Linked DNA regions of Anolis sagrei. The protein of the gene in region 2 interacts with the protein of the main gene of each other region in a biochemical or structural test. Links are inferred from orthologs where the notes say so. Each region holds a gene or a part of one and is shown on either strand. Other genes may lie near its edges.

What was found. The genes of interacting proteins can lie anywhere in the genome.
Region 1: the proteins of ANXA1 (region 2) and S100A11 form a complex in vitro, tested with the Homo sapiens proteins (2 studies listed by BioGRID). The link is inferred for Anolis sagrei from reciprocal best matches to the Homo sapiens genes ANXA1 and S100A11.

Annotation. Positions count from the first base shown.
Region 1 is NC_090032.1:3,615,977-3,623,054, reverse strand, and holds the start of S100A11 (protein S100-A11), read right to left. Parts: upstream 3,010-7,078; 5' UTR 2,830-3,009; coding exon 2,827-2,829; intron 1-2,826. UniProt on the Homo sapiens protein: Facilitates the differentiation and the cornification of keratinocytes.
Region 2 is NC_090022.1:223,642,944-223,650,163, forward strand, and holds the start of ANXA1 (annexin A1), read left to right. Parts: upstream 1-4,167; 5' UTR 4,168-4,276; intron 4,277-6,960; 5' UTR 6,961-6,974; coding exon 6,975-7,040; intron 7,041-7,220. UniProt on the Homo sapiens protein: Plays important roles in the innate immune response as effector of glucocorticoid-mediated responses and regulator of the inflammatory process. Has anti-inflammatory activity.

The DNA.
Region 1 (7,078 bases), on a different chromosome or scaffold from region 2:
CCAAATTGGGAGTAGCGGTATACAAGTCAAATAAATAAATAAATAAATAAATAATAATAATAATAAATAATAATAATAGTAATCCAGCATATATATCTGATTTGCTGTGACATACTGTGTTTTTGTATCAGCAAAATAATAATAATAATAATAATAATAATAATAATAATAATAATAATGGCTGGAATCACTGGGTTGTTGTAGGTTTTTCCGGGCTATATGGCCATGTTCTAGAGGCATTTTCTCCTGACGTTTCGCCTGCATCTATGGCAAGCATCACCTCACTACCTCTGAGGATGCTTGCCATAGATGCAGGCAAAACGTCAGGAGAAAATGCCTCTAGAACATGGCCATATAGCCCAGAAAAACCTATAACAACCTAATAATAATAATAATAATAATAATAATAATAATAATAATAATAGTAATTTCTCAATGTGTTTCTCAGCTTTGCGCTTTTTGACACCAGGAGAAAATAAGCTCACAAGGAAATCTTGGGAAAGGGACGCCTGGGGCAGAGAGTCTGGGCGGAGGAGGTGGAGATGAATCAGGTTTTGGGAACCAGCCCAAATCTGCACCTTTTTCTCATGCGAACTGGAATGTTTGCTCAATGGAAAGGAGTTGGAAGGAAAGGGGAAAAAGGTGGGCCCGTTTCAATATCCTCTTGGCCTCCTTCTCTTTACTGAGCGCCCTTTGGAAGGCCAATTTGCAGTAATGGGAGGAAGCTGAGCACAAAAGCGGAAGGACGAGAGATAAGCCGGGACGTTTCAAAGGTAGCTGGGAAAGGGACGAATCAGGAACGGTTGCAAATTGCGATTTTTGGCAAGTATCTTGCACTGTCCCAGGATCAGACTTTTGGGACATTTGGAGATTATCTGGGAGGGGCGTTCAGTCTTGATGACCTTTGGGGACCCTCTTGAAGGTCATTTTGCAGCAATGGCAGCAAGCAGAGTACAAAAGGGGGAAGGAGGAGAGAAGAATCCCTTGCAATAGCCTCCCAGCTCCGTTACGCCACACAGAGAGGTGTGCAAAGTAGGGTGTGATGTGCTTCAGGCGGGCCAAAACGGTTTCACATGGCCGCGCCCTTTTGTGAGCCGCTCGTGCAATCTCTGCCCAATAATGCTGGTGCCTCACCAAACTATAACTCCCAGGACTCCATAGCAAGGAGTCTGGGACAGTCCAAGTCTCCAACCCCATTAATTTGGCAGTTGATGCTCCCTCAAAGGAAAGGAAAAGCTCAAGGAGACCCATAGAGTGAAGTTTTGGTGCCTCTTCTCCATCTTTCTGAAAATGGAAACCTATAGGTCCATATTCCAAACATAAGATCTATGTCTCCAAATTTCCAGATCTTCAGGAGACCTGTGTCTCCATATTTCCAAATCCTAAGGAGACCTATGACTCCATATTTCTAAACCTTCAGGAGATCTATATCTCGATATTTCCAAACATTAAGGAGACCTGTGTCTCCATATTTCCAAACCTTTAGGAGACCTATGTCTCCAAATTTCTAAACCTTAAGGAGATCCATGGGATAAAAATCTCCAAACCTTAAGGATACCCAAGTCTCCAAATTTCCAAACCTTCAGGAGATTCATGGGATGAAATTTCCAAACCTTCAGGAGACCTACATCTCCATATTTCCAAACCTTCAGGAGACCCATGGGATGAAATTTCCAAACCTTCAGGAGACATTTAGGATGAAATTTCCAAACCTTCAGGAGACATACATCTCCAAATTTCCAACCTTTGGGAGAGCTATGGGTCTATATTTCTAAACCTTCAGGAGACCCTTAGGATGAAATTTCCAAACTTTCAGGAGACCTACGTCTCCAAATTTCCAAACCTTTGGGAGAACTGTGGTTCCATATTTCCAAACCTTCAGGAGACCCTTAGGATGAAATTTCCAAACCTTCAGAAGACCCTTAGGATGAAATTTCCAAACCTTCAGGAGATATACATCTCCAAATTTCCAACCTTTGGGAGAGCTATGGGTCTATATTTCTAAACCTTCAGGAGACCCTTAGGATGAAATTTCCAAACCTTCAGGAGACCTACGTCTCTAAATTTCCAAACCTTTGGGAGAGCTATGGATCCATATTTCCAAACCCCAAGGAGACCTATGTCTCCATATTTCCAAACTCTAAGGAGACCTATGTCTCCAAATTTCCAAACCTTAAGAGACCCATGGGATGAAATTTCCCAACCTTCAGGAGACCAACGTCTCCAAATTTCCAAACCTTAATTAAGGAGACCTATGTCTCCAAATTTCCAAACCTTCAGGAGACCCATGGGATGAAATATCCAAATCTTAAGGAGACCTATGGGTTCAAATTTCCATACTTTTGTCTCCAAATTCCCAAACCAACATCTCCAAATTCTCAGGAGAGCTATGGGTCCATATTTCCAAGTCTTAAAGAGACTTATGTTTCCAAATTTCTAAACCTTAAGGAGACCTCTGGGTCCGTATCTCCAAATCTTAAGGAGACCCATGGGTTCAAATTTCCAAACTTTAAGGAGACCCATGGAATGAAATGTCCAAATTTTAAGGAGACCCGTGGGGTGACATTTGGGTGCCCCCTTTTCCTTCTTTCCGAACCTGAAAGAGACTCATTGGGCGTCCTTATTCCATTGTTCCAAATGCCCCAAACCGCCTCTCCAAACTCTGCAGAGGATATGATTTCAGTCTTGGCGGTTTCTCTCTTCTTCCGTGCCAAAAAAAGGCTTTTCCAGTTTTCCAGAATTCAATAAAAACAAACAAAGGGAGGAAAAGAGGACGAAAGTTGCATGTTGCGGTGCATGTTTCCCTATGTGGTGCCTGCAACTTACCATGGTTTCGGAAATGCAGAAGCAAGGAGAGAAATGTGGTGGCTTCGCCGAAGCTGTTGGCCTGTTGCTGTGGGCGATGGGTCTGATGCGCAAAAGGAAGCGCACTCCACTCCCCTCCCCAGCCAACGCCCAAAGTTCTTTCTCTTGTGGCTTTTGGCTTGAGCAATGGCTTTGTGAAAGCAGACCCAGGCAGGCCTGCTGAGAGGGCTTGCACAACCCCACCTGACTTATGCGCTCAGGAATGTGGAAGAAGACGAGGGTGGGGGCGGGTGCGCACGTTTATTTTACTTCTAAGTCCTCTTATCAGGGCCAGATTGGAGCACAATGCTGAGGAGAGCGCACCAAAAGCCCTGGCTTATTGCTTCTCAATGCATCATCCCATAAATGGAGAAGAAGAGCACATCAATGCATTTTGAGACCATTTCCACATCTGTGGCTCAATGCTATGGGATTGTGGGAGCTGCAGTTTGCCAGTCTGAAGCTTTCATAGACCTAGACTTGGGTGCATTGCCAAACTATAATTCCCACAATGTCCTCCAATGTGAGACAATGGTGCATCTGAGTTTTCATGGCCCTAGACTTGGGTGCATTGCCAAACTACAACTCCCATTATGTCCCCCAAACCCACAAATGTGAGACAATGTTGCATCTAAGCTTTTATGACCGTAGACTTGGGTGCAACACCAAACTACAACTCCCACAATGTCCTCCGAACTCACCAATGTAACATAGTGGTGCATCTAAGCTTTCATGGCCCTAGACTTGCGTGAATCACCAAACTACAACTCCCACAATGTCCTCTGAATCCACAAATGTGAGACATTGGTGCATCTAAGTTTTAATGGCCCTAGACTTGGATTCATTGCCAACTACAACTCCCACAATGTCATTCGAACCCACCAATACAAGGCAATGGTGTATCTAAGTTTTCATGTCCGTAGACTTGGGTGCATCACCAAACTACAACTCCCACAATGTCCTCCAATGTGGGACAATGGTGCATCTAAGTCTTCATGGCCCTAGACTTGGGTGCATCACAAAACTACAACTCCCACAATGTCTTCTGAACCCATAAATGTGAGACAATGGTGCATCTAAGCTTCCATGGCCCTAAACTTAGATGCAATGCAAACTACAACTCCCACAGTGTCCTACGAATCCACCATTGTGAGACAATGGTGCATTTCAGTTTTCATGGCCCTAGATTTGGGTGCATTGTCAAACTATAACTCCCACAATGTCCTCTGAACCCACCAATGTGAGACAATAGTGTATCTAAGTTTTCATGGTCCTACATCTGGGTGCATCACCAAACTACAACTCCCACAATGTCCTCCGAACCCTCAAATTTGAGACAATGGTGCATCTAAGCTTTCATGGGCCTAGACTTGGATGCAACACCCAAACTACAACTCCCACATTGTCCTCCGAACCCACCAATGTGAGACAATGGTGTATCTAAGTTTTCATGGCCCTAGATTTGGGTCCATCACTAAACTACAACTCCCACAATGTCCTCCGAACACACCAATGTGGGACAACGGTGCATCTAAGCTTTCATGGGCCTAGACTTGCATGCATCACCAAACTACAACTCCCATTATGTCCCCCAAACCCACAAATGTGAGACAATGTTGCATCTAAGCTTTCATGGCCGTAGACTTGGGTGCATCACCAAACTACAACTCCCATTATGTCCCCCAAACCCACAAATGTGAGACTATGTTGCATCTAAGCTTTCATGGCCATAGACTTAGGTGCATCACCAAACTACAACTCCCATTATGTCCCCCAAACCCACAAATGTGAGACAATGCAGTAGAATGAATGCAACCGAAGACCGCTTGAACTACCCTGGCTGAAGGCTATAGATTCCTGGGAGCTGTAGTTTGGCAAAGCCTGTAGCCTTCTAGGCCTAAGAATGGTATTGCTAAACTATATCTCCCAGGATCTCACATAATGAATAGCTGTATCCTCATTGTAGAAAGAATGCAACTGGAGGCCACTTGAATTGCTGTGGCTCAATGCTATGGGATTTCAGGAGTTGTAGTTTTCCTGTAACTTTCTCAGTGAGAGTTGGGCACTGCACCAAGCTACAACTCCCAGGATTACATACATACGACTAATAAGTGCATGAATGTAGTTTGACAACACTATAATAGCCATGGAGCAATGCTATGGAACTGAGGGAGTTATAGTTTGGGGAGGCCCTGGCAGAGAAGGCGAAATACATTGTAAAACTATAATTCCCTTAATTCCATAGCATTGAGCCTTGGCAGTCCAAGTGGTGCCAAACTATGCATCCATTATACACTCCAAAAGGTACATCAAAATGAATGCAATTTGGCATCTCCATAACATCCATGGCTCAATGCTACAAGATTTGGAGAGTTGTAGTTTTGCACAGCCTGTTGTTTTCTTGGCACAAGAGTATTGGGACCTCGCCAAACTACAACTCCCAGGATCCCATACAACTAATGAGTTTGTGTCCACTTGAACTGCCATGTCTCCAGGTGCTCTGCCAAACTACAACTCCCAGGATCCCATACAACTGAGTTTGTGTCCACTTGAACTGCCATGGCTCCAGGTGCTCTGCCAAACTACAACTCCCAGGATCCCATACAACTAATGAGTTTGTGGCCACTTGAACTGCCATGGCTCCATGGAGTAGTCTACTGGGAGTTGTAGTTCTGCAAGGTCTTCTCTGCCCCAGGTGCTCTGCCAAACTACAACTCCCAGGATCCCATACAATGAACGAGTTTGTGGCCATTTGAACTGCCATGGCTCCATGGAGACATCTGCTGGGAGTTGTAGTTCTGCAAGGTCTTCTCTGCCCCAGGTGCTCTGCCAAACTACAACTCCCAGGATCCCATACAACTAATGAGTTTGTGGCCACTTGAACCGCCATGCCTCCATGGAGACGTTTGCTGGGAGTTGTAGCTCCGCAAGGTCTTCTCTGCCCAAGGTTCTCTGCCAAACTACAACTCCCAGAATCCCATACAACTAATGAGTTTGTGGCCACTTGAACTGCCATGGCTCCATGGAGTAGTCTACTGGGAGTTGTAGTTCCGCAAGGTCTTCTCTGCCCAAGGTGATCTGCCAAACTACAACTCCCAGGATCCCATACAACGAACGAGTTTGTGGCCACTTGAATTGCCATGGCTCCATGGAGTAGTCTGCTGGGAGTTGTAGTTCCGCAAGGTCTTCTCTGCCCCAGGTGCTCTGCCAAACTACAACTCCCATGTTTCCAAAGCATTGGGCCAAGACAGTTCAAGTGATGCCAAACTGCTCCAAATCCCGGGAGTTACAGTTCTGAGAGGCACCAGCCCTATGTGGCATGGGAGGCTGTTGACTTTGTCAAACTACAACTCCCAGGATTCCATAGTAGCGAACTATGGCTAGTGTTGAACTATGGCTAGTGTTGTATGGCTAGGTAGTGTCGTATTGCATTAATTCCACAGTGTGGGTGCACCTGAGCTCTAGCAGCTTGTTGATTTATTCTGCAGGTGGCTGGGATTTGCCCTAATTCAGGGGGAAATTGTAGTTTTCCCATGGTCTCATAAACTGACATGGGACGGAGCTCATATCTCAAAGGGGAAAAAATTTACAATGTACTCGTGGAGAGTTTCCACGGGTTTCGGTGAGAAGGACTCACATCTTGTGCAATTGTGTTGAATCAACATGCACACAAAATAGAAGAGGAGAGATCTAGAGCGGTTAAGGACGCCCAGAAGGGAAGAGAAAGGGAAGGCCTGTTTGTTTGCCTCTTGTTTGTTTTATTTTTCACGCCATGGAGACTAGCTGTGACTTGCTAGGAAAGCACACACACACACACACAATCCCTGGACAAAGTTTCCCATGAGTCATCCAATTAATCATTTCCTCCAGGCAATGAACCATCACTCCCTTGATTTTCCATTATTGTTGATTTGGTTGACTCTCTGTTGCCACCTAGTGGTCTATGCATGTATTGCTAGAATTGGATCAATTATATTTTTATTTTTAATTTAATTTTTCTCCTGATTTAGGGACTCAAGTGAGGCACATATTTTAGAAAAATGTAATAGAATTATGGTCCTTCGTGGAGACTTGGCTCGCAACCCAACAATTCTCTGATTTTACAAACGAAAAGAACGAAACGGAGACGACAATTGAATCAGATAAAGGTAATTTATTGATATACTTGGAATACGATCCATCCACTCCCTTGAATTCTTGGGATTTTGAAGGAAATCTCTTCCATTTTAAGACC
Region 2 (7,220 bases):
GTCTGAAGTAGATGTAGTCAGAATGAACTTAAAACACACATACCCACACCCACATCACTTAATTGCTATTTGGAGAAGGATCAGTCATTTCATTCTTTATTTAAGGTACAATGCTATCTCTGTTTTACTAATCAGCAATTACAGGTTAAAAACAATTTGGTTGTTTTTAAAATGAAGAGATGTTTCTGCTATACATCAGCTCACACTTTGCTTTTTTAGTTGTGAAACATTCCCTTTCATGGGGTGCCCTCTTTTGTGGGCTGACTGCTACTTGGTCCCACCACCTTCATTTCTTTCATGTTACAATCCCTAAAGGCATCACCATCTGAACTTGGAAGCTAACTTGGATGGAGACTGCCAATGAACACCAAGTGCTGTAGGCTATGTTGTAGAGGAAGCAATTGACAAAACCACTTCTGAGTATTTCTTGCCTAAGAAAAAAACATAGCAAATCCTTGGTGCCACCATACATTGAAAATATGACTTGAAAGTGCACACACCATCTTTACAATGCAGTGATGCAGAATGGTTCAGTGACCTAGAGGTGAATTCATTTCAACCTTACATTCTTCCAGATGGGCTTGGCATTTCAGTTTTATCCATTAATATTTTGTTTCAAGTTATTACAAACCAGATGACAGCATTTAACAATCAGCTCCTTTCTCTCACATACAGATAGAACTTTATGCCCAGGTAGTAGAGAAGAGCTATATATTTTATTTATTGTATCAGGAGTGAACCATTGTTTTTGAGAAAACACACAGTTTAAAAACTTGGCATTCTATTAAAAGTAATTTGACCAGTAGCTGGCCACTTGGGAGTGCCTCTGGCGTCACTATAAGGAGGTGCTCCATTGTGCATGTGGCAGGGCTCAGGTTGCATTGTAGTAGGGGGTCTGTGGTTTGTCTTCTCCACATTCGCGTGTCATGGACTCCACTTTGTAGCCCCATTTCTTAAGGATGGCTCTGCATCTTGTGGTGCCAGAGCGCAGTCTGTTCAGTGCCTTCCAAGTTGCCCAGTCTTCTGTGTGCCCAGGGGGGAGTCTCTCATTTGGTATCAGCCATGGATTGAGGTGCTGGGATTTAGCTTGCCACTTTTGGACTCTCACTTGCTGAGGTGTTCTTGCGAGTATCTCTGTAGATCTTAGAAAACTATTTCTTGATTTAAGGTGTTGAGCTATAGAAACCAATCCTTTTGAAAGAAGGAGCCCAATCCACTGACCATTGGATTGTGCGTTCTGCCTGCTGTCCTACATTAAGTTTACTTGTTTTTTATTTATTTTTGCTGGGGTTCAGATTTTCAGTTATAATTTTGTAATCTACAGTTAGGAATCCATAACTGCCTTTTGTTGAATAAAATCATGGGTTAAGCTAGCTTCATTTTGAATCCATCGCCTCCTGTCTCCATGATGAATAGGAACTTTTGGTCAATACCCCAGGTTTTCTGGTTTTGATTTGATCGACTGTTCTAGACCAAATCGCAAAATACCTTAAGGCTGAAAAGCAGTCTGGATAGTTGGATTGGATATATTGTGGTCAGATCCCATGTCCAAATGGACACTGCCACCATAACCCTTTCTCTGAGCTGAACAGCAGAGAGGAAGGGAATGGCTCACCCCTGCATCACTGTAATTGCTTCCTACTGGCAACAGAGTTCACTGAAGAATACCTCGCCATCATGGGCATATATTGCTGATATTTGCAGATGTTGATCAACCCCTTACTTCTTGCTAGTTGCACAGGTGCCCTGTTCTGACATCAGCAGATGTGACTGGACATAGCCAAGCACTCTCACAGAATTCTGTGACTGGCAGGTTGTGGCAGTGGCAACATGGAGGACAAGATAACATCCTAGCCGGGCTGCTGTGATCCCAGCCTGGCTGGACTGGTCTTTAGTTTAGCATGTACATGCTGGATCTGGGGTTGCTTTGAGACAGATATACAATGGACTAACCCGTCTAGTGTAGAAATAGCCTTTGTCATGCCACCTCCTCAGCCCACATTAACAGCCAGCAACCAGACTGGGTGAAGGATGTTTCTTCAGCTGTCGATCAGGATGAAAGGATAATGTTTTTAACTCTCTCCCATTAGTGACTGAGACTGCAACCATCAGATCTTAGACACACAAGTTCTTTTTGCAAGTTTGCTCTCTGGTGAAGGAACTGAGAATATCATCCTTACTCCTCAGTTGCCAGCTGAACAGACCTTTCTCTCCTAATCTTACTGCTGGTTGTTAAGGTGGACTAGAAGGGGAGGATTGGACTAGAGACATTACTTAGTTGTTATCATATATAACTAAGAAGCCCATGAAGTATATTAGTATTGATTTATTTCTCTGTGACTATGATTCAGAGTGGCTTACTACACAATTAAAAACTAATTCAAATGAAACATTACTAAGCATTACTATAAAATTACTGAAAAAGTATAAAGTAAGTTACATCATTAATGCCACAATTAAACTAAAGAAAATTGAAAGTGGATAGTTTTAAATAACTGTCAAAAATAAAGAAACCTACTGGGTACATCTATTTTACACCGTGTCCTCCAATTGCCAAAAATCTGCCTGAATAATAAGTAATTTCCTGCTGAAGACAACAAGGAAGGACCAAATTGTCCTGGGCGCAGCCACCCAGAAAGTTCTGCCTCATGTTCTCACTAAACCTGCCTCCAAGGGTTATGGGAACAAGAGAAAGGTTTCCCACACAGATCTAAAGGGCTGGACATGTCTGGGAGAACATTCATTTTTTCAAATTTCCTGGAAATTAGTTGTAGACACTCCTTTTCTCTCCTGTCAAATAAATTGTGGATTACACATTGAAGTACTATCAACATATTGGCAATGATAGGAGACCCCAGTGGCAAAATGAGTTAAACCCTTGTGCTGGCAGGATTGCTGACCGACAGATCAGTGGTTTGAATCTGGGGAAAGCGGGTTGAGCTCCCTCTGTCAGCTCCAGCTCATGCGGGGACATGAGAGAAACCTCCCACAAGGATGGTAAAAACATCAAAATGTTTGGGTGTTACTTGAGGAACATCCTTGCAGATGGCCATTTCTCTCACATCAGAAGTGACTTTCTCAAGTCGCTCCTGACATGAAAAAAATGGCAATGATAACTGGGTGCTCTCCAGATGTATTGGGCTGCAACTGCTATCACAGCCAGCCATCAATAAGTAAATATATGTGGATACACCCACAAGCTGAAAAAGGCTTATTCATAATATCTATAGGCTTATTTCAAGATACATAACCACCAGTTCCTTATTTATAAACATTGGCCTAGTGGCATTCCAATTACATATATTTGATACCAACTTAAAATTTGGATTAAAGACCATTCTGGATCATTTTGAACTGTTTTGATTTTAGGGGTATATAATTTATGGGGTGGATCTCTGAAAAGTTTTGGGTTTTTTAAATTTTGGGAGTTCAAAGACGCATAAACTTTACCTTTCATAAATGAATACAGATTAAGCATCTCTTCTCTGAAGTGCTTGAGATCTGAGGTGTTTTGGATTTCAGATTTTTTAAAAGATCTTGGAATACCTGTATTTGTATCATATATGTACATAATGAGAAACCTTGGAGATGGGACTCAAGTCTAAACAACATCTTTGTGCATGTCTCATAGACACCTTATACACATAGCTGAAGTTAATTTATACACAAATTTAAAAATCATTTTGTGTATGAAACAAATGCTGTGTACATTGAATAATCTGAAAGCAAGCTGACATGGATAAAGGGTGCCCAACTTGTATTAGTGTGTCAACACTGTGAGAATAAAAAGAAAAAGTCAGAAATATCAGACTGATGAAGCATGAAGGAAATTATGGGTGAGAACCCTTAGGAGGAAGAGTGAAAATCCACCCTGGAACAGAATTGTTGTCTGCATCTCTTTTGGTGCATAAACAATTACAGAGGATGTTGCACATTACAAAATCAAAACATTTCTTAACACTATTGAATTCAATCTACCGATACTCCTCTGTCGCCTTCCGTATTCAATCTGCAGTTTTGCCATTAGCTCAGATATCTATTTCTTCACTTCAGTGGCCAGTTTGTTTCAAAGACATGTGGGTGTGTCTATCATCTACATCACATGTTGAGCCATTTCCACTGAGCAACCAATCCTTGGAGTTGGAGAAGTTAATCCTGGTTGCTAGGTGTGGCTTCCAATGACTTTATAAAAAGCAGAAGGCTTAGGCTTAGTTCTTCCAGTCAGTACTTTCCCAAATCAGAAAACAGAGTTGGTGTGACTTGTGGAAAAGAAAAGGTATGGTTTCTTTAGACATCATTTCTTCACTTGCTGTAGAAGTGTGTCGCTTTCTGCACATGTTGATGTGGCTTTTTTTCCCTGCACAGAATGTGAGAATAGTATTGTAGTTTATCTAAGCTTCTCCAATTGTTTTGAAGTTGTGTGGATATTAGGGCAGCTGGGGTGGGAGTGGCAAAGCTTTATAGTGTCTAAATCTAAACGTCTGAATATAAAGTTTTCTTAAGTTTGTACAATACAGGTTTTTTTTAGAACCGACTTGCTCCATGCTGTGTTTGTTCATGTTTCTATGGACAACTGAATTATTTTTAACCACAAAAGTCTGTGTCAAGAGGGGAAAAATGCCCCTCCCTTGTATGGAAACTTACATGAGGCCACTTCCCCTGCAGTTATGATGAGGTTGCTTAATTATTTGGGAATAGTAGAGCTCAGTTCTCCTAAACTTGAAAATATTAACAGCATATGAAAAGCAAAGTGAAAATTTAAATAAGAGCTGCCTTCTGAGAAAGCAAGGGAATGAAACAGTCCAGTTTTTCTGTTTACACGTAAGCAGCAACTCAGCAGCATGAGTAAGCTCTGTGGAATTCTACTTTTAGTCTGTTCAAACTTTCCACAGATACATAAAAAAGAGTGTCGGGCCATTTCCTCCTCACTGGTGGATTCTTTTCAGTCATAAAACAAGTTTTTCAAAATTTTTCACGCCATCCTGGCTGTAAAATTTGTAGGAGTTGCATATAAATGCAGGCTGACTGCAAGGGTAACTGTTCTTTTAGGAAGTGAGTTTTGTTGGCAGTCTTAACCACATTTACTTGTTACAAAGTATATCACCACACTCAAGACAATGGGATTTCACTTTTGTATGAATGTGCTTGCATGTTTTAATTGATGCTCTATACATACAACAGTCTTTAAGCTGAGTGACTAATGGTCCTCCAACTGTTGTTGGCTGTGCCTGCTGGGGATGATAGGATCTGGAGTGAATATCACCAGCTGGACCATAAATTGCCCACTACTTTGCCCTATCATACTGTACTACATTTATATTGGGACAGGATTTGTCTTCCTGTTTTCCTGAAAGCATTGCATGGGACATGTACTTTGGGGATACTGCGGCCCACAACAAATGATCCCAGAAACATAGTTATGAGGTTGTAGATACTTCCAATGAGATTCACGTGTTGGCTATTTCCTGCAATGTGTGGTTATCTTTTATAACCTATACTACTTCCAAAAAGATCTAACTGGGATCACATTTTAATAGATCGGGGTGTGGCCATCCCACATCCAGTTCCTGAAAGTTTTGTGTCCCATCACCAGAGGCTCTTCTTTTATTCAAATATTATCAAGGCTTAACATATGGCTGCTTGCACAAGTTTTGCAACCATCGTCTGGGTTATATCATAACAGTATGCAAGAGATCTCTACAGTTGTATTTCAAGGGAGAGAACTAGAAATCTCTAGAAGGAAATGAAACCTTCCTAACCTACAAACTCAGGATTCTATAGGCTGGAGCCGTGGCAGTAAAAGTAAAATCAAATTGTTATAATTAAAGAGCGTGGTTAAAATTAGTCTCTTTTATTAATTTTAAACTGATGTGTTGAGTCTTTTATGTACAGCTTTGGGACTGGGCTATGGGATTGTTCTTCGTTCTTGTAGTTTGAAGCCATTGTCCCGCGTCCTGCTGCTTTGGAGACTAGGACTTGTAACAATTACTTCAAACTACAGGAAAGGAGATTCCACCTGAATATTAGGAAGAACTTCCTAACTGTGAGAGCTGTTCAGCAGTGGAACTCTCTGCCCTGGAGCATGCTGGAAACTCCTTCATTTACCGGTTAATCAAAAGCGCATTGTTTTTAGGGCTTTACAGAAAGTGGACAGGGTGCACACTAGTCTAATCTCCGTGTGGAGAGGGTTCCAGGGCTGGGGGCCACCACCGAGAAGGCCCTCTCTCTCGTCCCCACCAACCACACTTGAGACAGAGGTAGGAACGAAAAAAGGGCCTCTCCAGGAGATCTTAGAGCTCGCACAGGTTCATCGGGAAATATGTGATCACAATGATAGGCTGGACCCAAACCATTTAGGGCTTTGAATTGGGACAGGAAACTTATCAGCAGCCAGTGGAGCTGTTTTAATAGGGGAGTGGCATAACGATATTAGTGCACAGCAAACATGATCACTATGCTGGCTTTTTAATTTGATCACATGTTGGACACTTCTCAAGTGTCTAGAACTGTATGATGTATTGGTGAATAATGAGTGCAGTAGGGTATGCAAGTAGGGTAGCCTTTTGCAGCTGACAGATGGTAATTTTATCAACGCCGATTGTTTTTAAGTGTAGACCAAGGTCTTTAGGCACTGCACCCAGTGTGCCGATCACCACTGGGATGACCTTTACTGGCTTGTGCCAGAGTCTTTGCAGTTTTATCTTTAAATACTCATGGGATGGTGCATGAGGTCTCTTCCAACTCTATGATTCTATGAAACAGCATGTCACACAGTTTCTCCCAGAGTAAAATGAGAATACCACAGAGGACTCTGACTCATTTAGAGGCCTCCGGGCAGATGTGGGAGGAATATTTGTCTAATGTGCTGGCTCTTGGAATGTCCTGAATAACCAGAAGAGTGTTTAAAATGAATGTACAAAAGAGAATTCTACAGCATTTTATTCTCATCTCTTGTTGCAGAAACATAAATCAACATGGCTATGGTGCGAGAATTTCTGATGCAGGCCTTTTTCATTGACAATAATGAACAAGAATATGTGGTAAGTGGTGTTTTAAAGAATTTGGCTAAGATCCTGTTCAATCCAGTAGAGTATATTATTACACAGACATAGCAACAGCTTTCTGGTGGCCATCCTGTTACCTGTTCTGAATCCTGGAGTGAGGCAGAGGTGTATCCTTTGCAAGTTGCTTGTTGAACAGTGGGGTAAGGTAGCACTGCT